Linked DNA regions of Cricetulus griseus. The protein of the gene in region 2 interacts with the protein of the main gene of each other region in a pairwise test. Links are inferred from orthologs where the notes say so. Each region holds a gene or a part of one and is shown on either strand. Other genes may lie near its edges. The genes, in order: Abhd5 and Plin1.

Region 1 (16,015 bases), on a different chromosome or scaffold from region 2:
TTACCAGTTTAACCCTATGGCCTCTTATCACTCCTGTGGTGATATCTTTCTTGCACAAATAAAGCCTGTCGGGAGTCAGATAATGGAGCTTGCCATTAGCGAACCATAGAGGTCTGTATAGACAGACAGGAAGTGATGTAGCTAGGCAGAAACAGGATATAAGCAGGGACAAACAGGAAATTGCTATCTTCCCTGCAGAGAGGCTTAGCAGTTCCCATGTAGTGGCGGAAGGAGTAGGAGGTCTGGACCCTTCTCCAGTAGGATAAGACCACATGGGAATATTTACATTAATAGAAATGGGTTAATAATTAAGACAGAGCTAGATAATAAGAAGCCCTAGTCATCGGCCGACAGTTTCATAATTAATATGGTGTGTACATGTGTTTATTTGGGGCTCCAGGGCGGTGGGACCCCTGCCAGGCCAGAAAACATACATCAACAGTCATTCCCAACTGAGTCGATAAGGAGAGGGGTTTCTGTAGCTGTGAGAGCTAAGAGCTGAGAGTCTCAACACCAATATTCACAGTAAATAAATAATCAGGAGGCCCCAGAGTGTGTATGCAAAGCATGGTTTTACCTTCCACCACACTGACATGGAGGAAGAGAGAAGAATTCTGAGTGTGGCGACACTGGTCAGCTCCATGGGCAATTAAGTTTTGTGCTCTACTGCTTAATTCTCACTGGTAGCCACATACTCTCAAATGATCACTCTCGCCCCATCCGACACTGCTTAGGTTTGCTTGGGTTTAGGCTGCTGAGACTGACCTCCCTCATCCCCAGTGTTCCCTCTGCCCCTGCTTTGCTCATTACTCATAATGTTCTACAATACAAAAGCTCCCTCCCAAGGAAAGTGGTTGGCTTCATCTTACTATTAGGGGAGAATCAGAAAAAGTAGGAGCTCTGATTTATTCATGGCTTTAACTAACAATGGTCAACATCAGTATGCACAGATGGTCCCCTATGTATGACTTAGGACCATAAAGGAGCAATGGGTGCTCAGTTAAAATCATATTTTGAATTTTGATGGTTTCCTGGGCTGACGTGCGGAACCAGACTCTTGTGATGACAGGAAGTGACAGTGACCCTCTTGACCAGACATCTGCCAGGGCTCTATAGCATACTATGCTACCACTGCCCCCATGGTGTCAGGTCAGTACTCTGAGCTGTTGATGGCTTTAATGGGATACAGCACTGTCCTATCCCAAGTGGAGGAAGCAGGTGCTCTTCTTCTGTTCAGTTATCAACTCTGTTCTTTCCCAGGACATGAATACTCACCAAAAGGCCCTGCAATCCTGAGGCCAGCCAAAGGGTTAAAGGGAGTCAAAGCTGCTCCCAGGGCTCTGATCCAAACTGGAATTGGTCTTTCTTGATCAGCCAGATCGGGTCGCTCAGGGAAACCCCATGGCTCTACTAAAATGAGGTGACTAACCCTGTTGAGGGCAAAAAACAAACAAAACAGACTTAAGTTCATTTGGTAAATTCACCCTTTAACTGTAAAGTGCTAACTGAACAAGCTCAAGGTGGACTGAACCCCTTAAATGGAAGACTAGTGTTTTTTGTTTGTTTGTTTGTTTTCTTTTGGGTTTTTTGAGACAGGGTTTCTCTGTGGCTTTGGAGGCTGCCCTAACTAGCTCTTTTAAACCAGGCTGGTCACGAACTCACAGAGATCCGCCTGCCTTTGCCTCCCAAGTGCTGGGACTAATGGCATGTGCCACCACTGCCCGGCGGAAGACTAGTTGTTAACCAGGCTATATCTTGCTTTTGCTGTCAACTTTTACGACTGGAAAGAGTTGAGGGGTTTATGCTAAAGAGAAGGCTTTGCTTTTATGTATACTTGGGTGGCAAAAGGCACACCAAAGGAGAAGATATGACTGTGATCCTAAAAAGCAAAGAGAGAGGAGAGGGCAAAGTGAGGGAGAGGAAGGGCCCTCTGCAGGACACCTGTCACTGACCACTGTGAAGAGCACAGTGGATCTGTGCATCTCCAGGCCAACACTACACTCATGGGATGGTTAATCTCTTGTAGGCAAGTTAGGATTTCCCCCACAAACATGACAATAATGTAACACGGGCTAACAAAATACATTTTATTTTGGGACGTGGTGAAATGAACAAGTCTATCTACTCCACTCATGACATCATGATATACTAGCCATAATTCTCTTCCTAATTCATTCCCAAACAACTTCTTTACTAGCCAACGTTTTCATTTCAATTTCATACAAAGTAGATTCATTCCCCCATTAACAGATGTAATTCCTGACTTAGGAAACCCATCCTGATAAAGAAAAAACAGAACTGTGCATTGCTGCCATGTGACAGGTGTAATTTCTTCTAGTCATCATAAAGATTGTAACTGAAGCACACCCACCACAAGAGCATTTCCAGCTGTAACCATGGCAGTCACCCAATGCCAGGTAACCCCAGAATGAGACGACATGTCTCTGACAGCCTTCCCAGGCATACCTGAAGCAGTGGCAAAGCAACTGAAACTGTTCACAGGGTTTTATTCCTAACATAAAAATCTGCTTTATTATTTTTGTCAGCACATAAAGAGATGAATAGCAATTCTTACTTGGCATTTTTTCCAAACAGAAAGCTTTAGGACTGAGCACAGGAGAAAATCTTCTAACCTCTCATCACAGCGGGAAGGAAGCTGAGGCACACAGTGGGCATGCTCCAGCGTGCAGCAGCGGTTGTCAATGCAGAATAGGGCTGAGCCTCATTTCCCACTCTAGTGCACTCACAGAGGACAACTGCTCACCAGGCAGGCTTCCATTCCTCAAGTATCCACAGCAACAGAACATAAGTTTTAGTTTACCTCAGCCATTTCAAACTGGCTTCTAAGCTGTATAGCCCTGAGACCCTTTGTGGGACAGAACTATGGATTTGGAGAGGGTTGTGTGGCACATGACAGTTGTGCATACTTAGTGTGTTTTCAAACTAAAAGTTTTAAAAATGTTTTTAATAGTGTACGAGAAAAATATTGGAAATTTTCTTTCTGAAAATAAAATGGCACAGTCCTTTAAATTTAGATAGTGGGAGTGACATGCCAGCACGAGAATTAATGGAGTGGCCACCTTCCTGAAAACAGCAAACATAATGGAAGGAAACAGCTAGCAATATTCACTACTGACCTAGCTCCCAAACAAACGAGCTCTTTATTTAAACACCCATTGTGTATGATTGAAGAAAAGTCTCACTTTGCTCTAGGTAAGGGACCGTTGTTTCTGCTTGTCTTGCTTAATATACTTTTCAAAATATCATCCCCTGGAAAGTGTTGGCTGAATACATTTTGCAGGCCGGGCGTTGGTGGCGCACGCCTTTAATCCCAGCACTCGGGAGGCAGAGTCAGGCGGATCTCTGTGAGTTTGAGGCCAGCCTGGTCTACAGAACGAGTACTAGGACAGCCTCCAAAGCCACACAGAGAAACCCTGTCTCGAAAAAAAAAAAAAAAAAAAAAAAAAAAAAAAAAAAATTTGTAAAATATATAAACCAGGGTGAAGAACTTGGATTTTTTTGTTTTTGAAAAGTATTAAATTGACCGAGGATTGTTCAAGCCTGTCTTCAGCATGGCAAAAGTGGCAGGTGCTTGGTAAGCATTTGCAAGTCTGGTTTTGGTTCTTAGTAACAACATTCAAATGTTCTACAGTGCCATCTTTGTCTAGTTTGGATGTTGTGGTCCCCCAGATGGTACTGGATCATATTGCTGCTTGTTATGATAAAACTTAGAAGTTATTACAGAGGGCCAAAAGCCAATATTATTTTCAAAAAAACATGTATTATTTGGAACTGAAAAATACAACAAGCATGAATATTCATCCCCCTACACACACACACACACACTCTTTACAACACTTACAGAAAACGATGTTTTAAAATAAAGTTTTAAAGCCTCCAACATCAGAAATGTAGTTAGACTGCATCCACTTTAGCTACACGAAAAAGCCCTCACAAAATAATGGCCTTGTTTTTCACTGGAAGCCTTTTCAATACAACAGACCACACAAAAGCATTGCACTTGGTGGCTACCATGGTAAGAATTCTGTGATGGAAGCTATCGCAGCAAAATTTATTCCACTGGAGGGCTTTTAAATTTTTATTTGCTCTCTTTTGAAGACACTGTGTAGCCTGGGCCAGCCTCACGTTTGTAGTGCTCCCCCTGCCTCTCTGCCTCCTGAAAGCTAAGATTACAGACCTCAGCCACTGTCCTAGCCCCACCGACAGGCCTGTCAGCTTAAATATAGGGTAAGGAGTGAGTCATCCTATCAGACGACATCTTCCTCAAGAACTAGAGTGTGATTAAACTACAGGACAAATGAAGAACCAGAAGAGCAGGAATATGACAACAGCCCATCAGTGTCAGGAAAAAAAAAAAAAAAAGGCATTCTTCTTGACGGTAGTCACATAAACAGCTTACACCTTTCAGGGCAAAGCAATGGGTCACAGCTTCACTGGGATGAGACGGTGTTCTGTCTAAATGAGCACATGACTACACACACTTGATTTTTATAGATTCGGTCAGCTGCCAGCGAGAATGATACAGCCAGAACAATCAGTCCCAGAACTGAAATGCACCAGGAAATTTACAGGGCCTCCTTGAAACAAGGAAAGGAGCAAAGAATATGACTACAAAGAATTCCAGTCTACATAAAGGAGCACTCTCAGACTGGAGGGTAGCCTGGGGTATTTCCTGTTGGCACCACACCACTGAGGAGAAAGGACCTGAAACCACCAAAGCACTTCAGTTCCAGGCCAATCGCAATTCTTAAGAGGAGCCAAGAAGATGCTCAGCCCAGGCCTGCATTGTCAGGAAGCAGTCAGGCAAGGGCAGTAGGGACGGGACTCAAGATAGTATTGTCCAAAAGTCTTTGTTAGTGGAGACAAGTTCTAACATGCTGTTATAACCTAGGGTGGGTCTTTTTGCTAGTCCCTTTCTACTTGTTTCTCTTTTGAGACAAGATCCCATTATGTGTTCCAGAGTGGCCTCCAGGTCCCCCCCCCCCCCCGCCTCTGTCCCTTGGGTGCAGGGACTGCAGTTATGTATCATACTACATAGGTTCCATACAACCTTCTAAGCGTGTATCATATCCTTTTTCTTAGTGTGTAGCAAATACCTGCAACACAGACGTTTCTTCACAAAGGAAGGAGCTCTAAAAGCAAAATCTGAACAGTTGAGAGGAAGGGGCAAGCATCTTGGCTACCAACACTGGCTAGCTTCACTCTTGCTAAGGGAAGACAGCTCAAGATTCCTCAAGCAGCAAGTAGCTCTATTTGTGACCCATCATATGAATCTACTAACAAAATTCCAGGGGGCATCTCCACTCATCACACACGAGTTTAAAAAAAGTTGGGATGAACTGAGGTTGCTGCGTGGGAAGGAACGAGGGGCCGTGCCTTCATTGGAGTCCTCTATTAGCTAGCCCGTAACTTCTCTGCCCACTGGCCTTTCCTAAACAGCACCGGTGCCTGCTAGCATGGGCCTTTGAAACATATGCCCATTGACTGTAATAATCCCCTGCCACCCAGTAGTCCTCTTTTAGATCTTAGATCAAGAAATATTTCTTTAGACCATCATTGAAGCAGAGACTAGATCAGGTTCTCACAGCACTGTCCGTGTCCCCCACCATAACACTCATCCCAGGGGCAGAGCCCTGTGTGGGTATTGAAAGCGCCACTCCAGTACACATGCACACATGGCCCAGAGCCTCCTTCCCCCTGTGCACAGCACAACTGGGCATATATATCTACACACCAACAAGGTGTGGTGAACTCTGACGCATTCCTTAGGGAGGGTGTGATGAATAGCATCTGGGGAAATACCGCTGTGACTCCAACCACCAGTTTATAGTGTGCACAGAGCTCAGGTGCTTCTTCCGACATTTTAAAGAAGGGAATTAAAACAAAATGCCCTCCCCAACAAACACAGTCACTGAAGATCAGTCAACAGCCAATCTCCTAGAATACACTATTGGACACTCCATTCATCACCAATGCTTCATGGAAGACCCGAGGAGTCATCACAAGGAGTCAAGGGCACAGCACACAGCTTTTATCAGCCGGCAGGAACACTGCCACAGGAAGGCTGCAAAATGGCTCTGATGGGCAGGGGCACTTGGAAATATGCACCCGTGTCTAATCAATGTTATGAAGTCAAAAGTATGAGTTTAAAAAAAATATGATTAAGTCAGGAATAGTGACACACAACTTCGATCCCAGGAACTGGGAAGCAGAGGCAGGCAGATCTCTGTGAGTTCAAGGCCAGCTTGGTTTAAGCAGCTAATTCCAGGATAGCCAAGACTATTAGAAATCCTAATCTCAAAACCAAACCAAACCCAAATAAAATAAAATAAATCTAGAAAGAGAGAGAGAGGGAGGGAAGGAGGCGGATGGATGGATACAGTTTTGGGGTGTCGTCCAACCCTGTGATAGTAAGAATAGGAATTTAGACACACTCCACTTATGACCACTACTTAGTGGTTTCTGGCTCCCACACCCATAATGCACTGTCTGAAGTGCAGCCGGCACTATGAGGGATCAGCTGTTGCTCTTCTCTCCACAGATGGATTTTCAGCATTTGCCAAGTTCTGCTTCTTCAGAGCGTTTCACTACTGCAAGTGAAAGTTTCTCCAGTTCTCCTAGTCAGTAGCTACCTATAAAGGGTTGAGGGTTTGCAACGTAGAGTTGATGACAGTCCAGCCCATAGCCTCATGTCCTAGCTCCAGAGACGCCATAACACACACAGGGAGTCAAACCCCAAGCAGCTCAGCTGTCTCCACTACGCCTTTCCTCTATCTCTCACAAATATCATTAAGTTTCTGTTGCCGTGAGTAGGATGCAATTAAAAAATGGACTTAAAATGCCCACCAAGAAAAAAAAATGTGACAGGTTTTGTTGATGTTTTAATGAACAGGTCTTCTGGGTGACAGGACTATCTCTGTCAAGCATATAAAGAGTTTTGAATCCACCAGAAAACTTGGGTACAAAGGCTAAAGTTGACACACTGAATCTTTGGAGAAAAGGAACCATGGCAGAGGCAAACACAGTATCCTGTTCCACTGTGCAGACCCCATACCAGCAGCTGTGAAACAGAGTGGCCTTGTGGATGGGGACAGACACTCTGAAAGTGACCATCAGAGTGCTTCACCCACAATTCTCAACGTCCATCACCTCTTTAATTCTAGATTTAAAAAACAGTCCAGTGGAAAAATTCACCAGCAACACAGAAACGCTGACACTCTCCTCTACAAACAAAGCTCAAACGGAGATAAAAACTTTTCCTTTTATTTTCTTTGGACTAAAATGCGACTTCTGATGGAAAACCAGTGTCATAAGAAACAGTGAAAGAAAAACAGTAGAAAGATTCTAAAGCAAAATGGCCACTAATTCAAGGACTGAAAAACAGTGCCTCCTGAGCATGGTGGGTTAAGTCTACAATCCCGAAAGGCTCGAGTTGGAAGCTGGAGGTCAGCATGGGTCCATGGTAAGTTAGCAATCCAAAAGGTCCTGTCTCAAAATGATTATTTAAAGGCTCTGTAATGAAAACATTCAGGGAATGATATAGTCAAAACCCATGAAAGGTACACTATATGAAAAAAACTAAAGTCCAGAGCTCATACAATTTGCTCATTCACAAAGATATAGTCTGCTTCCCTTTATAACTTAACTATAATTTAGCAAAAAGTCTGGAAAAGCCTGCTGGTTCCAAAGTTTTAATTATTATAGTTAAAAAAAGAAAAAAGCAATTACACCATAGTATTTTTATGGGTGGCTTAAAGCTACACCAGGTCAGGCACTGTGGTGCATGTCTTTAATTGTAGCACCAGGGACAAAGAGACAGCTAGATCTCTGTGAATTGGAGGCCATCTTGGTCCACACACCAAGCTCCAGGCCAGTCAGAGCTATACAGTGAGACCTTGTCCCCAAAGAACTTAAGAGATTAGATTTTGTGTCATTATGAATAAAAAATATTGTCCTTTGTCAAGCCTATCAACAAAATCTGATATCATCCTTTAAGCTACAAAGTGGGTTACCAGTTGTGGTTGTCTACCTATTGGGTCTTTTAAGAGAATGTCTCTCGTGTAAGGCTAACAGTCACCACCAAAAACGGGAACCAGGGATCCGCCTGCCTCTGCCTCCCAAGTGATGGGATAAAAGGTGGGCACTAGCCTGTGCCTCCCTGCCAGCTGTATGTAATTCTGCCCCAGCTGCATCAACCTGATCTTATGGTCGAAGGAGTTCCCATAGAATTTAGAGCATTCCATGTACAAAGATATAAAGCTGTCTTCTTTGGTGTTAAATTGAGACTTTCTGGTACGTCTGTGTGATGATTTGATCAGGAATGGCCTCCATTGGCTCATATTTGACTGCTTGGTCATTAGAGAGGCACTACTAGGAGGTGTGGCCTTTTCAGAGTAGGTGTGGGCTTGTTGCACAATCCGTGTTACAAGAGTTGCCATAGGGGGAGGGCCTAGGCCTTGTCCCAAATGACATGACAGATTTTGATGGGAGGGAGAAGGAAATTAGATTGTTTCTAATTTAAATCAAATGTACAAAATCATTTCTATTAAATAAAATGTATAAAATTATTTCCAATTTAAATAAAATTTATGAAGAAAAAAGAACAGGAACTGGAGGCTAACACTTGGACGCAGGCTGTGACCCTCTCCTCTGTCACTGACACTTACCTTGATGGGTATTTCAGTGAGTAAGCAGCGGCCAGGAACCCTCCAAGGTTGTGTCCAAGCAGGATCATTTTGTTCAGCCCGAGGGCACACCTCCACTCCTCAATGGACTCCACAAACTGGTTCTCCACCTCTTCAGCATCGCTGTCAAACCTAGGTCGACTACTTCTTCCAAAGCCCAAGAGGTCAAAGGCATAGACGGGCCTGTCAGTGCTTAGATCTTCAAAATTCAGGGCCCAAAGTCCAAGACCTCCTCCAAAGCCGTGGAGGAGGACGAGTGGTGTCTTACTGGAAATGTCGTGAGAGAACATCAGTGTCCATATTCTGTTTCCATTGGATATGCGGACGGGCTCTTTCTTGTACGTGCAGGGGACACCTGGTGGAGACAGAGAGCACTCCACTCAGTCTCGCTGCTTCCAAGCACTCTCAGGGTAAACTCAGTCATGCTATTTCACCTTTTATTGCATCGACCCCAAAAGAGTCTATACCTGATTAAAGCAAGCAAATCCAACTAACCATGTTTTATAACTACGTGGGAAGACTTACCTTAGGAAAGCCTCGAGTATATGACCTCCCGATTTCTCTCCACTCTATCATATGAGGACATTACATGCCTAGAACTGGAGAAGAGCCTAGTGGCCTTTAACCCTGTTATTTTAAGGTCCCTAGCTTTGCAGACAATAACAAGAATACTACTTTGAATTTGTAGAGCACTTCACAGGTTAGCATTTGAGACTGAAGTCAGACTTGAAAGGACCATGGAAAGTCATCGGGAACTTGGGGAAGGAGTAACTATATCCACTCTAAACACATACCCGGTGAGCGAGATCATTTAAAGCTTAGTAAAAAGCGGTGTGTGTGTGTGTGTGTGTGTGTGTGTGTGTGTGTGTGTGTGTGTGTGTGTGTGTGTGTGTGTGTGTGTGTGTGTGTGAGAGACGGGGCATGGCAAGAACTTCATCATGAGGCAATCCGAGTTCAAGCGATTGCCCAGAAAATAAAAGTACAGTTTTATAGATCAAAACCCTTGTGTTCAAAACTACATAAAACAAAATACTTTAAACCCTCAAGTTGGTCAAAGGTAAAACTAAAGTTGATTGATAATAAACCATCAACTGAATAGCTACACTCCAGGAATGTCCTTAAACACCCGTGCATATACATGTGTGACAGACAAAATATGGACAGTCACATGTTTCTTCCCTTTGTCAAAGAGCTAACTTAGGTTTTGTATTCATGGTGGCAGCAGAGAGAAAGCGGTGTGCATTTAGGGATGTGATGGGTGCCCTGCCTTAACTGGAAAGAAACCCCTCACCTAGAAGAGGAGCTGAGCCAGGCTTTGAAATGAGCCAGAGCCAGATCTCTTCAGTGTTTGAAACGGGCCTGAGAATTCCCATAAAAATTATTTTTAACATTTAGTGAGAGCTCATCCTGATGTTCAGTCACTCACATTCATGTCTGACATCAGAGCAGGCAGTTCTTAGACACACACACACACACACACACACACACACGGAATCTAGAATCTAGCACCACTGGGTGATAGTGGCACACACCTTTAATCCTAGCAGAGGCAGGTGGATCTCTGTGAATTTGAGTTCCAGGACAGCCAGGGTTAGTTACACAAAGAAACCTTGTCTTGGGGGAAAAAAGTTTATTTTGGTAAACCACAATGAAAATTCTGCTAGTTTTTGTGAAGAGCAACATCATTCAAGTATATGGAACAGAAATTCATTGTGTTAAAATCCACATAACAGGGCTAACTACCATTCCTAAGAATGTAACCAGTTATGGTCACTTACTCTGCAATTGCCAAATGAACAAACAAGAAAATCATTGATGGTAAAGAGAGTGAAGAACAGGTGTAGACAGACATCAGTAGAAGCCCTTACTTTACCCACTCCTGTAGATTCTATCATCAGAACAAAATTGTACAATAAATACCAGAGGTCTGGATCAATTTCAGTGCTCATTAAGAAAAAAATTACAGGACTCTGTGACAATACAAACGTGGATGTAACGATGGCACAATCCAAAGGCACCGCCAAGAGCACCCTACCCCTCATTCCAGAGTTAAAGAATGGGAGGCCGAACAGGGTGACTTGCCCAAAGGCTGCCACCACTGCACAGCAGGTCTGGGTCCAGTTGCTAGGTTCAGCCTGGACTGTGTTCCACTAATGAGACCCTGGAACACAAGAATGTGCTCTCAACTATATAGTCTGGCATATCAGGAAGGTCTTCCACAGGTTTTAAGGATATTAAGACTTTTAACAAAGCCTTATTTTCCATTCTTTTAAAAATATTTTTTAATTGTGTGTGTGTGTGTGTGTGTGTGTGCCTGTGTTGTGTGTCTGTGTGTGTACTTGTGTGTGCGCACGCACACGCTCTCTCCGGACAATGCAATATATTAGATCTATTTTAGTAAATAGTTAAGTAACTTTACAAGAGGAAAACCTTACATTTTAACATTTTCTCTTCAGCTTCTTTAAGGTGTGATGTAGACGTAGGGCACCAGGTCGGAAGCCACCCTGTCAGCCATCCTGACCTAGAATACCAAAAGCAAAGTGCACATAGGTGAGGCCATGCTTTTCTTAACTCTCAGCTACAACACCTGAAAAACAAAGCCTCAGAGGAACCCACCGCCTGTGTGTGTGGGGGCAAGTACAGGTGGCACAAGTTAATGGGACAGGCACTGGGCGCCTACCTTACCTTTCAGGATAGTCAGATCCAAGTAACTATAGAGAGGCAAAAAGAAAGGAAAGAAGGAGGGAGAAAGGAAGAGAGGGGCACCATTCCCAAAGTACGGCAGTCTCTGAATGGGCTAGAAGTGCAAAAAAGCTGGTCTACGAGTGAATAGGTTTGCTTCTCCTCAACAGCAGGCTTACAGTGAAAAGAAAACTATTTACAATTCTCATTTAAAAAACTAGAAAAAGGAAAAGCTTCAGATATCAAGAGAAAGTGCAAAGAGCCTATGGCTTGCCCTCAACCTGCCTAGGGCAGCTGGTTAACTGTCGGTGGACAGAGCAACCTTGGCTCCCATACACGGCAAAGAGCAGAATAGCACTGTAGCTGTCTGAACACAGTGGAGCCAAGAGAACAAGGAAAGCGGGTCTGAGGAAACAGGAGCGGGAAGACGGAGAAAGAAAGGCTATACAGCTGACACTAGCTAGGTGGGAGAAACTTCAGCTTCGGGCCTGGCAGCAGACCAAAACCTCACGGCAGTCAGTCATTTGAGGCCCTGAGAGTTTAGCCGCCGTCTAAGCTGGCAAGGACTCTGTGATGGTAGTGAGACACTTCTGATGAAAGATAATGAATCTGAAAAGGGGATCGATTCTAGAAGAAAGCTCAGGGCCTGAACCACAGCACTGGTGAAGGGGACCAAGACATGAAGATCTGGCCAAAGAATGTTTAAAACGGAAACACGCTAAATCTGGTCAATGGTGTGATATAGTCTTGCGGTTTCTCCTCACAGCACCACTATCATGATGGAGAACACACTAAATACAGATAGGGATGCAAATGAAAGACAGAAATGGAGGCCCTGGCTTTGACTCTGTGTCTTAAATAGACTAAAACAATTAGCAAGAGAAACAAAGTGGTGTGAGTGTAGAGAAATTAGGCGAGGATTGGGAAGGGAAGGGGTGATTCAGTCTCTACCTTTTCCTAAACTTCACAGAAGCTCCCTACATTTCCTTTCCCTATAAAATACTTTATAATATAACAGGAACTCAGTAGCCAGTGTTTGAACGATTAGGTCACTTACAATTTAGAGTCATCTTAGTCCAAATTAGGCCCAGTTCACAGATGTGACGCTGACATCAGGGTAGAGGATACGAAGCTAGTAACAAACGTACCCCCAAATCCCTGTTGTCCACAGGAGAGTACCTCCCTCAAACGCCTGAGGAATTGGCTATTGTGCACAGGTGGCCCACACTCCTGGGTCCTGTCCAATCTGCTCCTGCCCAGCTTGGCTTTTGCTTTGTGTCATTTCTCTCAAAACTTCACACTACTGAGTGTTTCTGCGGCCACCCAGCTCTTCCCTTGGTCCTAACCCCTCGCTTTCACAGAAACATCATTCCTGGGGTGCAGAGGCATGGTCCTTGCTACAGATACAGTTCCTGTAGTCAGTGGCTGTTTGTCATCTGCCTACTGCCTGGTGAACACACCAAAAGTCAAATCTACCTCAAAGCTGACCTTAACACCCACTGCTAAACACGCCAGCTGGTGGTCATGTGAGCCCTTGGGAATGGGAACGGGAGGCTGCAGTCAGCAGACTCACATAGGTGTGTGATCAAGAAAGGCAGATGGACTCTCTCTACAGGCAAGAAGCACTCAGCGTACCTCCGGTTCTACAGCAACAAGGTATGTGGGCAGGACAAGGGCCTGAAACTTCAAAACAAAAAATAACTGAAAGTTGACACAAAGAAGAAACTCGGGAAAGAGACATCAGCATGGAACACAAAAGGTGACTGGAGAGAGGGCAGGATAATGACCTAATAGCTACACTCTCTAATACAAGCTTGTCTGTCCCTTTATGTTTACAGTTAACTTCCATCTGGTCTTGGTCTTTAGACAAAATTTCCTGGTAGGTTCAGTAGCTCTGTGTCTGTGTGTCTGTCTATCTGTCTAACAAATAGAATCAAGATAAGAATATTAGCAGATATATCTGGTCAGCTTTTCATAAGCTGTATAGTTAGGCATATAAGGGCCTGCGTTAAAATGCCAGTTTCACACTTGTGCACTGACAAGACAAGACCAGAGGACCCGTGGACACCCCTCACAAGTGCTGCACTGACCAACTGTGGAGGTGTAACCTAAGAAAGTGTTAACTCTAGTCCAATGATGAGTAGGCAGTCTGTCTGCAAACTTCAGTCTTGTTTTTTTTTTTTTTTTTAATTTATTAGCAGTTTGTAAAATTTTCAACAAGGAGGGTAATGCATTTTTGCTTGTTTTAAAACTATTGTTAGGGCTACAGAGATGGCTCAGAGGGTAAGAGCCCTAGCTGCTCTTCCAGAGGTCCTGAGTTCAATTCCCAGCAACCACATGGTGGCTTACAACCATCCGTTATGAGATCTGGTGCCCTCTTCTGGTGTGCAGATATACATGGAAGCAGAATGTTGTATAAATAATAAATAGAATCTTAAAAAAAAAAATGCCAGGTGTTGGTGGCACACGCATTTAATCCCAACACTTGGGAGGCAGAGGCAGGTGGATCTCTGTGAGTTCGAGGCCAGCCTGGTCTACAAGAGCTAGGACGGCTTCCAAAGCCACAGAGAAATCCTGTCTCGAAAAACAAAAAAACAAAAAACAAAACTATTGTTAAACTGAAGGAAGCTCTTTCATCCTCTTTTATGCCCACATCATAAAATTATGAACAGAAGTTACGTATAACTGAATCTCATCAACAAATATCTTTCAGATCATAACACAGTTCTTTGTCAGAGATCAGTACAAAAAATAAATTGAACCATAATCTACTATTGCTCCAAATGACATACACAAGTTGGGACAAAGAAAGCACAAAGGCAATATTTGCTTCAGTCATTAAGAACAAAAAACAAACACACACCAAAAAATTCAGACTGAAAACCTTCGTCCAGGAGTTTAGAATTTTAAAAGTTACGCAGCAGACTATAGTACAGGTGTGGGTCTCCCTGTACTGGCTTGCCACTTCAAACAGCAACTCTTTTCTTTGTGACATGGGTTCTCCGGTAGCCCAAGCTTGTATTGCTAAGCAGCTGAAAATGGTCTTGAATTTTTGATTCACTTGCCTCTACCACCCTGGTGCTAGAATTGGAGGTACAAACCATCTCATCTGGCCCACAAAATAATCTTCAAAGGCTAGAACTATCTATGAATTTTGACTCCTAATGGCTAGTTCAATTTAGTGTTTGTAAGCCTAGTGGGTTACATTAAAAATTAAGGGGCACCAATTCTCATTATATTTTCATAGCTACCTTTTCATCAGCACAAGGCCAATTTTTACAAATGAGCTTTTTCTATAGTATATTTAAAGTGGGGAAAAAAACCCCACATATTTTCATTCCTAATAAAACTATGAAGATAGCATGTTCCCCTAAGCCTAACAGTACCTCTGTCCAGGTTTGCTTTACTCAGATTGCTGGTAAGATTTTTACAGAAGTGGACTTCTACTCTGCACCTGTAAGACAAAGTACCACACACATAGCAGACCCCAAGGGACACCTGCAAAGAGTGAAAAGCCGTGGTCTGTCTGCCTGCCCTTCAGTCTCTTGTTCAGAAGTCCTCATTCTTTTCTTGCTAGCTCTGTTATTCCCTGGCCAATCCACTCGTGTGTCTGCAAAATAACTTAACTGCATCTCCAAAGAGACGGTTCCTTTCTCCTGAGTCTCTGAGGTCACTCAGTTGTCTGGCACTCCCTGGGCTTAGCATGTGGACACTGGATCTAAGGCTGTCCGACTCGGAGCCATTCTTCTGAGGTCACAGATTCAAGGCAAAAATCCTCACAGTCCAGCTGAAGAGCAGTAAATGGAATAGCCATCTCTCCACAGTTTTGTAAAATAGAAATGTATAACCTATTTAAGCAATAATTGATAAGCATTATTATCCACAGCTAAGGCATGATTACAGATGGAAATGTCAACTGCAATACCAAGAAAAGCCATTCACTGCAAAGTTTGTAATTTCCCCAAAGTACACACATACACACCAGGAAGGCTTGCCGGTGTATGCCAAAAGGTTTTTAGCAAAAGCCCTATGACCTGGGCACTGACCATGTCGGTATGGCAGAAGGTACATGCCCTGAAGCATCTAATTTAAAAAAGAAAATAATCAAAAGACTCTTGCTCTAGATTTAAAACCACTGGAGTGGAAACAAACAAACAAAAAAATAGTTAAAGTTTTAGAAGACCACACTAAAAGTGATAACTCTTAGGAAAGCCAAATAGTTGTGATTAACATACTAGAGTATATTTACCAAAAAACCCAGCTGATTTTAAGTACCCTGCATTTCCCCCTGAACTTTCCACCTCATTTTTTTGTAACTATCACTAACAATGTACTTGTACCTCGTGCCATGGACACTTAAGTTCCTGGTAATTCCTGTTTTGTTCTCCAAGCCATCTGACTATCTATAGTGTTACTAAACCTGAATTGCACAATCTATAAATATTGTGAAATGGTGAAAGAGGTTTCAAAGTATCCTGAAGAAAATATACAGAAGCCTGGCCAATTTCCACATACTCTGTTGGCCACTTAACATTTCTAATTAGGTTATAAGTAAAGAGGATTTCATTATGTTACAGTTTTGCTCCATCCCTCTACTGGTATACTCAAGAGGAGAAAGTGTGCTTGCT
Region 2 (16,015 bases):
TGAACCAGCTCGGGATCTACAAGTCCAATCTTGGTGTCGTAGGACTTGGAGGTCTTGTGTCCTCCGTGGCGGGTCTCATCACTGTAATGTATCCTCAGTTGAAACTGAAGACCCGCTAGGTTTTGGGGGCCTAATAGGTAACAGCTTAGTTGGAACAAAATTCTATTTTTGTCACAGGGTTTTACTGTGCTTAATTGTTTAATCATGTGAGCATCTTATCAACCCATAATGTGAGAGCAGGACCAACACTGGAGTGTGCAGACTGATACATTTTTTTAAATCCTGCAGTAACTTCTGAATTTCTGAATATTTTCCCTTCAGCTAACATTGCTAAGTATTTTTATATACACAGCAAGAGCTTAAGGTTTGCTGAATGAATAAAAATGGAAAGGAAAGAAATCATGAAAGACCCACAGACACTAGAATCATGGGTTGGGTTGTTTGGGTCCCTCATTTCACATAGTACATCAGAGCTGGAGCACGGCACTCCTGGCTCTGGTTAAAGCCTCCCTTTCCTCCCATCAGTTACTATGCCCCATCCCCACAGACGTCAGTGTGGGATGGAAGGGAGCTGGCTTCCAGCCGCTTAACCCATTGGCTCTGGCCATTGCTGCAGTGGGTCCTTATGTACAGAGGTAGGTTCAGGAAAACCTCAGGACCTCCGTGCTGTGGGTTGTCTGGGTGGAAGCCTCTGGACATGATGTGAGTCAGCAAGGGTGCAGTGGGGGGGACGGAGGTGAAAGTGGGTAGAAGGTCACAGTGTGAGACAAATAAGGAAATTGACACCAACAAACAAAACTGAACTCAGAGGTTCGTTCTGATTCTTTTCAAGATGAGTCCTCTGTACCATCTCATGACACAGTTCCAGCAGCATTTCCAGGCTCAAGAGTCCTTTGCCTTTTGCTCCTTTGCACTCCCCCACACCAGGCCTGGAACTTTGATGGTTTCTCTTCTAGTCTATAAAAATCAAAACAAGTAGGCTTTCCCGGATTGATTTTATTTACAGCTACATAACACTTTTGGCAATTCCACAACAGTTTTCGTCAAAATAAGAGAATTAAAATTTTCCTGTGTGTGAATGTAAGAATGTCAGTTTTCTGTGATAAATCAGGTTTACTAGGGACAGCTGTGGCAATAGGGCAGTGGGGATACTGAGTCAGTGCAGTTTGCCTGTGCTTGCTCTTCCCATTTCAGTTCCTATTTGAGGTGTGTGGCCTGGGGAAAAGGGATGCCTGCAGGTGGGCCAGCATCACACCTACAAAGCCATGTACATCATCTAAGTGGAAACGAGAGATATGCACTCAATAGCTGCTTCCCATAAGTGTGAGGAAGATTCTTGAAAAGCAGACTCGGGTCCTTGGCACTCTATTTTTAAAGTGTGTGATTTGGGAAAACTTTGGGGGGTATTCTGGTAGAAACTAAATTGGCTAAAACAAGACAAATATGTTTAAATAACTTTGTACTGTAACATGTCAGTATGTCTAATACATTTCTAAACAAAATTGGCTCACGAATCTGTGAATATGTCTGGGATTGGAGAGAGTTTAGAGGAAGGCAGTGAGCAGGAAGCTCAGGACTGGCAAGGTGCAGGCTGGGAGGAAGGCATGGGGACTATGTCAAAGTTCCTGTTTGAAAAGTTCCCTTACACATCTGTCCAAACCACCCCTGCCAAGGTAGTAGCCTAGCAATAGCTGGCTAGCTTCTCAGAGAAGCTGCCTAGAGTTCATGGGCAGTGTTTTGCAGATAGCTATTTTGGTCTTTGGGTCTTACACATTAGAGGGGGTGGTTGGAGGGTTGGAAACTGCCATTTTCTAGAGTCTGTAAACTCAGTGTGGCCCTGCTACCTCATCCTTGTATCTTTCTCCTTCTCTGCTAACCCTCTCCTCCTGGGTCCACATTCATGAGGGATTTATGAAACTACAAAGCCCCAAGGAGCTGCACAGTCACAGTTGAACACTGCTGCTGAGGGCTTAGTCAGCAAGTGTTTGAGTGCCCTGTTTGGCTTGGGGACCCACCTGTGCACAGAATGGCCAAGATCCCTGCTCTCCTGTAGTGGAGGGAATGAAGCAGCATGAGATAGCTTGGAGAACTGCCTCTTACCCTTGCCCCCTTAGTATTTGCCTGGCTCTTTTCTTTCTCACCTCTCACCCACATTCTAGAATCCCAGTGGAAGCAGCCAGAGGACCAGCTTTGTCAGCAGAGTTTTAGGCACAGAGCCCTATAGCCCCTCTGGCCCAAAGCCACCGCCTGAGAAGGCAGGCTGCCCTTTAGCCTGGGTTGTGTCCAGATGGGAGCCTTCCAGATCATTTGTCCTGGACCTTGAAGTGAGAGCAGAGTCCACTTTACATACTTCCCTCCTTCTCCAGAGCTGCCGTATAGCTTAAAAGCTCAGACCAAGATTAATAAGTAGCAAATGCTTCACTTATTTATTACTTCTTTTGGAAGTTCCATGCTCCACATTCCTCCCTTTCCTGACATCTTATTCCCTGTCTTATTTATTATTATTTATATGAAGGTTAAACAGGGACCTATCTGAATCTGTTTCTTTTTTTATTTTATTTATTATGCATACAACATTCTGCTTCCATGTATATCTGCACACCAGAAGAGGGCACCAGATCTCATAATGGATGGTTGTGAGTCACTATATGGTTGCTGGGAATTGAACTCAGGACCTGTGGAAGAGCAGTCAGTGCTCTTAACCTCTGAGCCATCTCTCCAACCCCTGAATCTGTTTCTTACATCCTTATTTTCTATTACATTTATTTATGTAGTGTGCTTGTGTGTGTGTGTGTGTGTGTGTGTGTGTGTGTGTGTGTGCGCTCGCGCGCGTGTGTGTGGTGTGTGTGTGTGTGTGTGAATGCGTGCACATAGGTCAGAGGACATTTTGCCAGAATCAGTTCTCTATCATATAGGTCCCAGGGATTGAACTCAGGTGGTCAGGCTTGGTGGCAATCCCCTTAACCTGCTGAGCCATTTTGCTGAACCTACTGCCCAGTGCCTTTCTTTTCTCTTATCCACACTAACAACTTAGCAGAATCAAAACATAAAGATCTGCTGCCAGCTAATATTTAGTGTTGTCCTCTCATCCATTTTGACTGAGGCCTTTCTAGATGGTCTAAAGCTACTGGTTGGGCCCATAGTGTTCTGTCCTCTTTAATCAGGCACTAAAGTTTGAGCCTGGGCTTGAGTCCCTGTTGAGGAATGAATGGCACGTGCTGATAGTTCTTGTCTGTCTGGGTACTATTGGCTGCCAACAAAACAAAGCTCATCAGCACCATCACTTCTCCCGACTCAGGTGAACAAATCCCAGTGATTCTCCTCCTTCCTGTTCTGGTAGTATCTTAGGCTATGCCCTCAGTCCCTGACTTTTTGAGGCAAGCGCTTGCTATGTCGGTGAGGGGGCCCTCCAATTATCAATCCTGCCTCAGCATCCTGAGTGCTAGGATTACTGGCACTTGCTACCACAACCAGCTTCAAAATATTTTCTTAAACTTTCAAGATTTACAAAGGTTAAAACTATTCTCTCAGAGCCCAGATTATTAATAGCTCAACTCTCAACTCTATTTTGTCTTTGCAAGTAATTTATCTTGATAGTCATCGACTAATACAGTAAGCTGAACCCATCCCTGTGTGGGTTTGAATCATGCTGTTCACTAGTCATCCTTGCTAGCAAATAACAAAGGATAGGAGAAACTATATGGGAGTATTGTCCATAGAAACTTTTGGGGAAAGGGACCAAAGATTACAGAATTACATGGAACTTTGAACTTAGGAGTTTAATGACACAAGTACTATTGCCTTTTTTACGGAAAGCAATTTTTGTCATTAAAAGCCAGAAATATTCAGGAACTATTGTCTCGGGGCTCTAGCACAGGACTCCTTCAGCTCTGTGAGCCTTCTCATCATTGGCCTAACAGTCCCCACAGAAGCTAGGATGAGCCCAGGGGACATCCTGGGTCAGGCAGCTATGGTAATGGGCCACCCATCTTTCTCTTCCTCTTTGCCCTCCTCCTGCTGGGAGGTCTGAGAGGCATTGCCCAACATTCTCTGGAGTGGCTGGAGGATTTCTGTGGAGAAGTCTTCTGCAGTTGGGTTTTCTGAGACCGAGGTGGCTGTCAGCTGCAGTGAGTGTGGGGTCCCGGGTGTCTGCTTTACCTGAGTGTTTAGAGGGAAGGAGCTGAGAGGAAGAGCAGATGGGGAACTTACTGAGGGATGCAGAGCTCTGCAGAGAGACCATTGAGGAAAAGACACAGGTTGAAAGACCAGGGCACAGAGTGGCCATTGGCTTATCCAGAAGACAGTTCTTTTAGGAGAAGGCTTACCTAGTTGGCAGTAGAGGGAAATAGTAATTAACTAGAATTTTGTCATGAAGAAAAGTAAACGCTACCCGACGCTCATTCTTTAGTCTCTTTGGGACTCTGATTTAAGAGCCCCAGACTTCATCCTAAACCTTTTCTCTCATTATCTCGTCAACCTAACTTATCTACATTTTCTTTTGTCTTGAGCCTTTAAAAAAAAGCATCAATTTTGAGCAGACTATGGAGTTCACTTTGAGCAGACCAGGAGACTCAGTGTGTTGGGACTCCAAGGAGTGGCCTCTCTATGTGACATTCACTCCCAACCTAGGGCAGCTGAGCTCTCAGTGACTGTGGGTGGCTGTGAGAGGTAGGGAGCCACCCTGTGGTTTGCAAGTCTGTGGGCTTCTGATGGACCTGGGACTCTGCTTTGCAGCCTGAAGAGGAAGGATGGCAATGAACAAGGGCCCAACTTTGCTGGATGGAGACCTCCCTGTAAGTAACCTGGGCTCATGTGAGATGGGGAATGGGCCACCAAGGGAGAAGGGAGTGAGCAGAGAGGGGAGCCAGGGGACCTAAGCAAGATGTGTCTACCTACGTTCCGAATTCACTGTCCCACTATTCCTGCCCTTGCCACCATTAACAGAGGTGTTTGGGGAACTGGGAAAAAGAGAAGATGCCTGTGATGGTCTGGTCTAAGAGCCTTGGAGAAAAGGATAGGAGTGCCAGCTGGGGGCTAAGGAGAGACAGGGAAAGAAATCGCCATGTCCTAAACCCCAAGACAACAGTCCACCACCCAGATGAGCATGTCTGCCATTGGGTGCCCATGCATAGTCTGTGACTCTGCAATGCACTACCTGTGCCACCGTGTGCGAGAATACACTGGACTTCAATGTGTCCAGCATTTATCTCTGGCCTGGATCTCACCATGATTTTAAGTAATTCTGATACTTTTATTAAAATGTCCTTGATTTGCTTTGCCAAGACCTCTCTGATTTGGGTACAGTTCAGATGTTAGTAAAATTCAGAGGTATGAGCCTGTAGGAGACTAAATTCATCCAAAACTAGGCTTTGATGAACCTCTGTACTAGGGATCACTGCCTTTTTTGTACTAAATCGTAAGAGATGTGTAAATGGGTCACAAAAAATGTTAGGTCTTCTTATCGGTTAATGGTTTTTTCCATTCCCAGCCCCTTTCTCCTTTAGCTTTGTTCAAAACCCTTGAAAGCACTGCGCAAAGCGTTAAAGAAGGTGTTTCCGCATGTAGTCTAAATCCCTTTCTCCTCTAATAACTGACTTACCAGAAGGACAAAAAGCTAAAATAACATGGCTGTTTGGTCCCCTGGCCCACACAGGTCTCCTTGATGGCATGTCACAGGGTGCATCTAAAGTCATACAGAGCTGGAGCTGATGGGTTAACCTTGAAGAGTGGCTCATACTACTTTTTCTATGGACAGTTCTTAACAAGACTAGGCAAATACATACAAGTTCCCAGGATTGTTGACAAATTCCAAAGGCCATGAACCCATGACCAATCTGCCACATCCTCTCCCAATCATTAATTTATTTGGAAGTACATTCCATATATTCCATTTCAAACCTGACTTGGAAGCAGTCCAATATAAGTGACACATGTTTATAATCTCAGAACTTGGGAGGTAGAGGCAGGAGAATCAGATGCTGAAGGCCAGTCCAGCCTTGGTTACATAATGAGTTTAAGGCCAGTCTGGACTAAATGAGACCCTATCCCTTTTTCATTGTTTTTGGTTTGCTTTGGCTTGGTTTGGTTTTTTGAGACAGGGATTCTCTGTGTAACAATTCTGGCTGTCCTGGAACTCTCTTTTAGACCAGGTTGGCCTTGAACTCACAAAGATCTGCCTGCCTCTGCCTCTGGACTGCAGGGATTAAAGTGCTGGGTGTCACCACACCCAGCAAGACCCTTTCTCAAAAACACAAAAAAATCAAATCAAACCTGACTGAAGTCCTGCCTCTGCTACTTACTATCTGTGTGATCTTGGGAAAGTTATCTCCGAATCTCAAATATTTCTAACAGCAAACTACAGTTAGGATTGAGATCAAGGCACCCTGGAACCCTACAGCATAATGGTCTCTAGTAAATGTTGCTTCCTACTAGGAGACCAGATCCATTCTTTCACTGGAAGATTGGGCTCTTTCTACTAGCTAAAGTGTAATTATGTAAATGCTGACAAAGCAAAATGCTTTGGTAAGAGATGACTCCACTACACACAAAGGCTCAGATTCACTGGAGTACCAACTTAAAAATGGAGTGTTATAGCCCGGCAGTGGTGGCGCACACCTTTAATTCCAGCACTCAGGAGGCAGAGGCAGGTGGATCTCAGTGAGTTCAAGACCAGCCTGGTCTACAAGAGCTAGTTCCAGGACAGCTTCCAAAGCCACAGAGAAACCTGTCTCGGAAAAAAAAAAAAATCAAACAAACAAAAAATGGAGTCGTATATCTTAAGAAAGGCCATGCCAAATCATAAAGTGTCAGGAGGAAAGGGTCACAAGCCCATTGTGTGATCCACTTATAAACTAAGATAGGAAATGTAGCTATTGCCTATAGTGAAGGGACTTTTGCAGGGAGTCACACCTAACTTGAAGTATGTGATGGGCTGACACACAAAAGGTGAAGTAGATTTGTCCAGGGTTGTTCCTGTGGGGCAGGGTGTGGAGGCAGACTTGAGCTCAGCAGTCATCCAACTAGGGAGCCAGCCACTCTGTGGAGGCATCAAGCCCACCCAAGGAGATTTCCAAATACAAGTCTAGTGAGACTTTCTGGAAAGGAGTCTTGCTGAGGAACCTCAGGAGGCCCAAATCCTGCTATTCTGTGTAGTTAAGAAGAGCCTGTGGGCGGTGGTGGCACACACCTTTCGTCCCAGTACTGGGGACGCAGAGGCAGGCGGATCTCTGTGAGTTCTAGAGCAGCCTGATCTACAAAGCAAGTTACAGGACAGCCAGAGCTACACAGTAAAACCCTGTCTCAAAACAAACAAACAAACAAACATACACAGAACAAGAAAAAAGAAAGGAAAAAAACGTAAATAAAGAAGATCCTAAACATATTCTACAAGGCACAGCTCCATGTATGGCTCATTTCTCCAGAGTTAGGCTTTCAGACAGGCACTGGGGAACTAGAGGACATTCTCCTGGGAGAAAGGAGGCAGACACACATAATCATACAGGGTGACAGATGTAGAGATAGCCCAAGGACAGACACAGCCATGATGGAAGAGAATCAAAAGTTGGTCATGGTGACACATGTTTATAATCCCAGCATTTGGGAGGAGGAGTCAGTAGGATCAGTAGTTCAATGTCATCCTTAGCTAAGTAGTGAGTTCAATGTCATCCTTAGCTAAGTAGCGAGTTCAAGGCCATCCATGGCTAGTTGAGACCCTGTCTCACCAAGGAGGTGATAGTGAGAGAATAATATTCTACCCAGTAGAAAGGGATGTTCGAGGGAAGGCAAGCCTATTTGGCAGTGGTCCAGCATTTATAGACATGGGCGAAACATCTCAGAAAGACCATTAAAATGTTTAGATGAAGCTACCAGTTGAAGGTGGACTAACAGATACATTAACTTTATCAGTCTAAGAGGCATGATCTGGGAGGGAGATGGGATTTGGCTTGTACAGATCACCTCAGGAGTTCTCCAGAATCTAGGTAGTGACCAGGAATGCCTGGCAGACAGATTCAGTTTCCCTGTGGGCTCCTTCATGGTCTTATGACTGGGCCATTTATAGACACCCTGTTTCCCTTACACTTGGGCTGGCCTCACCAACGTCATGCAAGACCCAGGCTAGTGTCAGCTTGCAGGGAGGTTGAGCAGGGAGTGGGGTATAACTTTTTTCTTTGCCCACAGGAGCAGGAGAATGTGCTCCATAGAGTCCTGCAGCTGCCTGTGGTGAGCGGCACCTGTGAGTGCTTCCAGAAGACCTACAACAGCACCAAGGAAGCCCACCCCCTGGTGGCGTCTGTGTGCAATGCCTATGAGAAGGGTGTACAGGGCGCCAGCAATCTGGCTGCCTGGAGCATGGAGCCGGTGGTCCGCAGGCTGTCCACCCAGTGTGAGTTCTCATAGAACCTGGCAATGGCCTGCCTGCCCACTGATAGTCATTCCATGTCTATCTGTCTGTCTGCTTGCCAGTCTATCTGATCATCTCACAACTTGTTTGTCCACCTCCCTTGCCTGCCTATATTCAATTTCCTGGTCTAATCATCTGCAGATATAGAGGCATACATGCAGATCTCTTTGTGTCTATACAGCCTCAGCTGCAGCCCAGCCTAGGACATCCTAGGCTAACAATGACACCCAAAGAATTTTCAGGGGGATAGATGGGCAAATCTATGTGAGCAATGGTGAGTGGAGCCAGCGGCAGGACATCTCGAGTCACGCGGGCTCCAAATACAGCAGAAAGAGCAGTGTCATGAACCGGAAGTCTCAGTGAAAGCAGGGCCTAGCAGTGCAGAAGAGCACCATGGAAAGAAAAGGCCCATTCACCCGGCTGCTGTTACTGGCCTCGGACAGGTGGGGCAGTAGAGAGCTATCAAGCAGGGACCTGGGGGCAGGAACAAGGTTTACCCTGTCTCCATCAGAAAATGTGGTCTCTAAGACTCAGCTCGGCCAGGTTGGTAGTGGGTCATGCCTTTAGTCCCAGAACGCAGGAGGCAGGGGCAGACAGATCTCTGTGAGTTCGAGGCCAGCCTGGTCTACAGAGTGAGTTCCAGGACAGGTTCCAAAGCTACAGAGAAACCCTGTCTGGAAAAAACAAAAAAGACTCAGCTCTTGTCAGAGTTGAGGGAAATCTAAGCAGCGCCGAGAAGTCTAGCATCTTCTATCGTCCTAATAGATTGTGGTTATGTGAGGATTCTACCCAGCAACCAGGCAAGGAAGCCTTAAAGGCTCCATTTCAAATTCATGTTCTCATAGATGGCCCTGGTTAAACTGAGTGGGTCACAAAAAAAAAAAAAAAAATGACAGGAACATGAGAAACAGATATGAGGGTTGGCAACATTGGAAGAGAGACAAGAGAAGATGTGGGGATGTGTATAAAGTTATCCAAGAAAAACTTATTCAACTAATAATAATAATAAAAATACTGAAGGCCCTATGCTAACCCTCATGGGTGCCCTTATTCTGTCCAATCAGAAGACAGCCAAAGTCATCTGGGCTCTTTGTTGTTTCAAAGAAACATGAAAGAGTACCTATAAATACTCTTTAAACCTGTGCCTTCCATGACCTTGGCCACAGAGCCTACATCCTCAGCAGACCACGGGCAGAGTGCCCTAGAAACACCTGCATCCTCTGGGGCATGTCCCACTCCTCAGGGCAGCTGGGTCCTCTTCCCTGTGGCGCCTTTCAGCTGCAGCCATCTTGACAGCTGGCGGTTAAAACTGGTCCTAGGGACAATCTGGAGCTGCTCTGGCCGTGACTGTAACTCCATCATCTCCAAACCAGGCCTGGTGCCCCTGAGGCCAATGGCAAAGCTCTGGTGCCACCTGGCACACTCCCTCATGGATTCTCACTTCCTCACACCCTTCCTGAACACTGAACAGGGAGGTTGGGTGGAGAGAACAGCCTTTGGTGGGGATTCATAGAGCTGCCATCAAGTTTGCCTGTGCATTCACACTTTACAAACACATGGGCTGTCGGCTCTGGCTCCTGACAGGAGGGGGCAGCAGAGAGCTGCTGTCCAGGGCCCTAGAGGTAAAGAATGGGGCACCTGTGCGCCTTTCCTGGTGTTCAGACCGGTGGAACTCGTTAAAGCCACATGCTGAGCAGGTGCAGGTCTTACCGTCTCTAAAACGGCCCTGCTCTCAAGGCGTCATAAGTACCTACCTGGGGGCTAAAGATAGCAATGAGTCTCTGGCTCCAGATGACCTGGTAGCCCAAGGGCTGGGATCTGTGGGTCCCAATGTACTTTCCTTTGAGACGGAGGCCACTGTTATTTTCTCAGGAGGGGGCAAGGATCACCCAACACAGCCTTTCCCTTTCAGTCACAGCTGCCAATGAGTTGGCCTGCAGAGGCCTGGACCACCTGGAGGAAAAGATTCCGGCTCTTCAATACCCTCCAGAAAAGGTGAGTCCTTCCTCTTCCCTAGTGCTCCCTACACTGTTGCGACCTCCTCTCAGGAAGGAGAACAGCTGATGTCCTGGCTGTGTAACTTTCTGTGTTCACGGGGTGAGCGCTTTCTTAGGCAGGTGGAGACCCCCGCTTCCTCTTTCTGTGGGGTCAGGTAAAGTGGTGGTGTCTGGGATAGCAGGCAAATGCCTCAGATAAGCTCAGACAGATACTTTCATGCCCCTCAAGGGGCGGAAGGAAGGGCTAACCCCAGTGTGGACCCTCCATAATTGCACAGCCTTCTGATACTGTGGCCTTGAGATCTGGGACTCTGTGGGTTTTCATAGGACTATGTGATGACAACAGCTACCTAAGATCTTGCATCCCTCTCACTGGGATCTCGGGATTACATACATGGCCTCGAGATCCAACACTTTATGGACCACGAGACTAAACAAGTCACTTCCCTCTGGCCTTATCCAGTGCTGGCTTCAATAAGGCCTATGACCTCATCTCTTTTACTGCCCAACCACCAACCTGTCCTACAAATCTCCCCCACCCTGCCCTTGCCAACAGCTGAAGAATGGGCTTCATGGAGCCCTCCCAGGTCATCCTTGGTGATGGGACTTGCTACACTCATTGTGCAGATGAATAAACACAGCCTGAGGTGGAATACACTCCTCTCTAGTGCTCCAGACCAAGTCAACTTGTATTTGTCACAGAGCAGCTTCCGGGTCTCAGGAGGAAGAAGGCAAATTACTCCATCATAAAACTTGCAAGAGGGCCATTCATATCTATCTATCAGTGTGAACAGTGTGCTGAGGGACAGACAGAGGAGGGAGGGTAGGGCTTTGGAAGAGGGATGCCTTGTGTGAATGAGGGTATCAGGACTATCCTCAAAGGATGGATCTTCACACAGTGTAGAAGCAAGGTGGCCGGCACAGCAAAGATGGCCTTTTCCTTTCCCACATATCCACATATTCTTGCTGGTCCCTGGGTCCATTTTTAATTTTTTAATGTTTAGACAGGATCTCGTACTATAGCCCAGGCTGGTCTGGAGTTCACTATGTAGCCAAAGATAGTACCAAACTCATGGTGATCCCTCTGCTTCAGCTTCCAGTCCTTGTATTACAAGTGTGTGCCGTCATGCCCCCGTGTGCCTGGGTCTTTAAATGGGGCCCTCCAGGGAGCTGGGCTCAGGGCCTGTGAGGAAATCCAACAGCTGACTGTCTCCCCACACTCCTCAGATTGCCTCTGAACTGAAAGGCACCATCTCTACCCGCCTTCGAAGTGCCAGGAACAGCATCAGTGTGCCCATCGCAAGCACTTCGGACAAGGTCCTGGCCAGCTGCGAGCTAGCCTTGGGGATGGCTAAAGAGACAGCAGAATATGCTGCCAACACCCGAGTTGGCCGACTGGCCTCTGGAGGGGCTGATCTGGCTCTGGGAGGCATTGAGAAGGTGGTAGAGTTCCTCCTGCCACCAGCCAAGGAAGAGTCAGGTACCTGCCCACCAGACTAGCTTGCTACCCTGGGATCAGTGGGAGACTACAAGTATTGCTGGCCTTGTGCTGGCATAGGGAATGCCCCTTAGAATCTCCAGAGGATCTCAGTCCTTTAGTCCCTCCATTCCAGGTGTGTGTGTGAGAGAGAGAAGGAACTGGCATTGGCTGTCACTAGTGGGGTCATGGTAGAAGTAAGGCAACTGTTTTCCGGCCCAAGGTACAAGCCTGAGTCCATTTTCTATAGTATTTATTCTTTCAAAATTTTACATGTATGAGTGTTTTGACTGCATGGATGTGTGCACACAGCGTGTGTGACTACTGCCTGCAAGAGCCAGAGGAGGATCTTGGATCCCTTGGAACTGGAGTTACAGATGGTTGTGAGCTATCAAATTGGTGCTGGGAATTGAATTCAAGTCCTCTACAAGAGTGACAAGTGCTCTTAACTGCTGAGCTGTCTCTCCAGGCCCCTCAGTCCCTTTTTGATGTTTTCTTCCATATCTTCTATTCAGCCCCCGCTTCTGGACGGCATCGTGCCCAGAAAACTCCCAAGGCCAAACCCAGCCTCATGAGGAGGGTCAGCACCCTGGCCAACACTCTTTCTCGACATACCATGCAGACCACTGCCTGGGCCCTGAAGCAGGGCCACTCTCTGGCCATGTGGGTCCCGGGTGTGGCACCCCTGGTGAGTGTCTGCTCAGAACTCTGCCTAACCCCTGCTCTGTGGGTTTCCCAGTCCCTCTGTCTTGGGAATATTCTTCAAGCTGGGCTGTGACTTTAGACATAGAGACAGGGGCTTAAGAGGATGGTGGGCTAATTGCCCAGACTGTGGAAGAAGAGAAAGGGCAGTACACAAACCGTGTGGGTGGTCCTGCCCCATCACCCTCTTCTGTCTCCCCCACCCTCCCTTGGAGTCTCCCTGGCTCCCAACATTCATGACTCCAAGTGGGCCTCTTACGTGGGCCTTCCCACCTCCGTTTGCTACTAAAACACTAGAAGTGTCACCCATAAACAAATAAACAAAACAAAAAAATCACAAAAAAAGCACATCCAGTGGGATGAGAATCCCAATAGCCTTTGCCCCAGACTGTGCAGATTTGCAGTCTTTCCTTCTGGGGGCTCCTGTCTCCCCCACCACACCCAGGCCAAGCTGCTTCTCCATTCATCTTGATAAGGTTAGGCTGCAGTTTTTGGAAATACAGAACTTAGTGGGAAACTAAGAGGGGAAAAAAGGAAAGGAAGAAGAAGAAAAAACATTAAAGTCAGGCATATAAACACAGACTAATAATCTCCACACCTGGGAGTCAGAGGCAGGGGGATTTCTTCAAGTTCAAGACCAGCTTTGTCTACAGAGTGAGTTCTAGCATATCCAAGCTATATGGTGAGACCCTATTTCAAAAGACAACAACAGAAGACCCTTAGACAAAGACAGACAGAAAACCAGAGACAAATGAAACAATGAGGACATGGAGGTGTCTGGACTGGGCTGCAGCTGGGTAGTAGAGTGTTTGCTTGCTCTGCTTACTCGAGGCCACACACCTGCAGAACTACAAGAGAAAACCCAGGAGTCAGCAGGAAGTGACTGCTTTTCAGTCATGTGAAATGTCCTTTTACTTTATTTTTTAAACTTTAATTGACTAATTTTTTTTGAGTTAGGGTTTCATCCTGTGGCCCAGGTTAGCCCTTAATTTGTGGCAATCTTTCTGCCTCCACCTTATAAGTGTCGGGATTGCAAGTGTTTCCCATCACACCTGGATGTGAGTGGAAATCTTTTTCAAATTTGATTTTGACTTATTATTACTCTGTGTGTTGTCGTCCTCCCCTTCTGAGATATAGGGGGATGCATGCTATGATGGCATGATGGCCCCTGTGCCAAGGTCAAAAGACAACTCTTAGGGGCTGGGTCACTTAAGAAGCAAGACAGGAGGATCCCTGCAAGTTTAAGGCCAGCCTGATCTACACAGTGAGTTCCCGCCAGCCAGGATTACATAATGAGACCTTGTCTTAAAAAATAAATGTAAATAAAAATAAATGAATAAGCATCCAGGTTGGGGATACAAGCTCAAGCTTTGTAGGGAAGAGCCCCGGATTCCATCTTAACACTAAAAAGAGAATGGCCAGAAAGAATGTGTGGCTGTAAAGTCAGAACATGTGCCACAGACTGGGGAATACAGATTGAAGAGACTTTTTTTTTTTTTTTTTTTTTTTTGAGACAGGGTTTCTCTGTGGCTTTGGAGGCTGTCCTGTAACTCTATAGACTAGGCTGGTCTTGAACTCACAGAGCTCCTCCTGCCTCTGCCTCCCGAGTGTTGGGATTAAAGGCATGCGCCACCAACACCCGGCTGAGACTTACTCTTGGGGTGTTGAAATATTCTCTGTCTCCATCTGCTATAGCTACATAGGGTGTGCTTACAAAAATCGCCAGAGTTCTATGCTAACTATGTATGTTCAATGACAAGCTATTACTAATAAAAATGCTGGGGGAGAGACTAAGTAGGTGATTCAGTGGTTAAGAACACTTGTTGCTGTTGCAGAGGATCCAGGTTCAGACCCGCCCATAACTCCGGTTCAAGGGAATCTGATGCTCTCTTCTGACCTCTGTGGGCACCAGGCACATATGCATACGCATAAAATAAAACAAAGATATATATATATATCTGAAACCCTGTGGGGCCAGCCTCTGCTCACCACCCCTGCCCCTGCTCCTGAGACAAGGACCTTACAGCCTAGAGGGGCCCACTGAGCCAGCTCCCTCTGCCATCCTCCCTCAGAGCAGCCTGGCCCAGTGGGGCGCATCAGCAGCCATGCAGGTGGTGTCCCGGCGACGGAGTGAGGTGCGAGTGCCCTGGCTGCACAACTTAGCAGCCTCCCAGGATGAAAGCCATGATGACCAGACGGACACCACCGAAGGAGAGGAGACAGACGAGGAGGAGGAAGAAGAGGGATCGGAGGTTGAAGAGAGCGTCAGGGAGGTGATGAAGAGAGTGAGAGCCTAAGGCCTCACGGCCCAGGGGTCGGGGAGAGCAGTAGAGGGGCAGGGTAGAATAAAGGACTCTGTCCCCAGGTCACCCCCAATCCACAGCCGACTCAGTATCTCTGTGTCCCTCAGCGGGCTCCACAACACCCACAAAAGTAGGCAGGGCGGCCATTGCTGCTCCATTTTGCAGACAGAGAGACTGGGGTTCAAGAGAGAGGAAGTGACATGCCTTAGGCCTATCCGCAGCTAGGGACAGACCCAGGCCTAGGGTTTTTTTTTTTTTTTAATTTTTTTTATTGTTGTTGCTGTTTTATTTTTTGTTTCTATTTTGTGTCCTTGTTTCCCTCCTGGCTCTGGGCTGGTGGTTAGGAAAAGGGTCAGAGGAACTGATGTAGGGCAGGGGCTAACGGTTCTCTGGCCCACAGGTAACAGCCCTGCCCAACCAGAGAGGCCTCCTAGGTGGCGTGGTACACACCATGCAGAAGACTCTCCGGAACACCATCTCAGCAGTGACCTGGGCACCTGCGGCTGTGCTGGGCACGGTGGGAAGGATCCTGCACCTCACGCCAGCCCAGGCTGTGTCCTCCACCAAAGGGAGGGCCATGTCCCTATCCGATGCCCTGAAGGGTGTTACTGATAACGTGGTAGACACCGTAGTACACTATGTGCCGGTGAGTCCCACCACGGGGACACCTACTCCCAAGGTAGATTTGACTGAAGGAGATGTAGACCCCCCTCCACCGCCTCCCTTCCAGCCCCTGGAGACCCTTCTCCAACTTCTCCAATCTTCAGTACTCAAAACCTTCTTACACACTGATCTTTCCCAGCCCAGAGTCACATGTTCACAGCCCTGGCCTCAGACCTCTTCCCTACTTTGTGCCTCCCATTTGATGATGGAGTCGTTGGTCTGTGAGTCCCTAGAGGCTCAACCCTCTCACTTCAGCTCCCAGAGGAAGGGCCTGGCAATAGGCTTTCAGGGTACCTGGAGCAGTAGGCTGTGCATTCGAAGGACAGTAGCTGGCCCTATGTCAGCTCTATCAACCTGCGGGGAGGTGGGGCAAGACTAATGCCATCTTTTTGGGAATCCCTGAGACCCTCTCCAAAGGAAGTTAGAGGTTGAGCATGTTGAAAAAGAACAGGAGGTGCCCCTAGAGCTAGCC

The links.
Region 1: the proteins of Plin1 (region 2) and Abhd5 interact in a protein complementation assay, tested with the Homo sapiens proteins (3 studies listed by BioGRID, with this or other methods). The link is inferred for Cricetulus griseus from reciprocal best matches to the Homo sapiens genes PLIN1 and ABHD5.

The regions. Positions count from the first base shown.
Region 1 is NC_048597.1:229,335,608-229,351,622, reverse strand, and holds part of Abhd5 (1-acylglycerol-3-phosphate O-acyltransferase ABHD5), read right to left. Parts: intron 11,227-16,015; coding exon 11,141-11,226; intron 9,061-11,140; coding exon 8,688-9,060; intron 1,431-8,687; coding exon 1,276-1,430; intron 1-1,275. UniProt on the Homo sapiens protein: Coenzyme A-dependent lysophosphatidic acid acyltransferase that catalyzes the transfer of an acyl group on a lysophosphatidic acid.
Region 2 is NC_048596.1:117,865,036-117,881,050, forward strand, and holds the start of Plin1 (perilipin-1), read left to right. Parts: upstream 1-4,748; coding exon 4,749-4,793; intron 4,794-8,178; coding exon 8,179-8,383; intron 8,384-10,313; coding exon 10,314-10,396; intron 10,397-11,625; coding exon 11,626-11,878; intron 11,879-12,390; coding exon 12,391-12,563; intron 12,564-14,649; coding exon 14,650-14,850; intron 14,851-15,280; coding exon 15,281-15,526; intron 15,527-16,015. Other genes in the region: Pex11a (peroxisomal membrane protein 11A), read left to right, coding at 1-119. UniProt on the Homo sapiens protein: Modulator of adipocyte lipid metabolism. Coats lipid storage droplets to protect them from breakdown by hormone-sensitive lipase (HSL). Its absence may result in leanness. Plays a role in unilocular lipid droplet formation by activating CIDEC.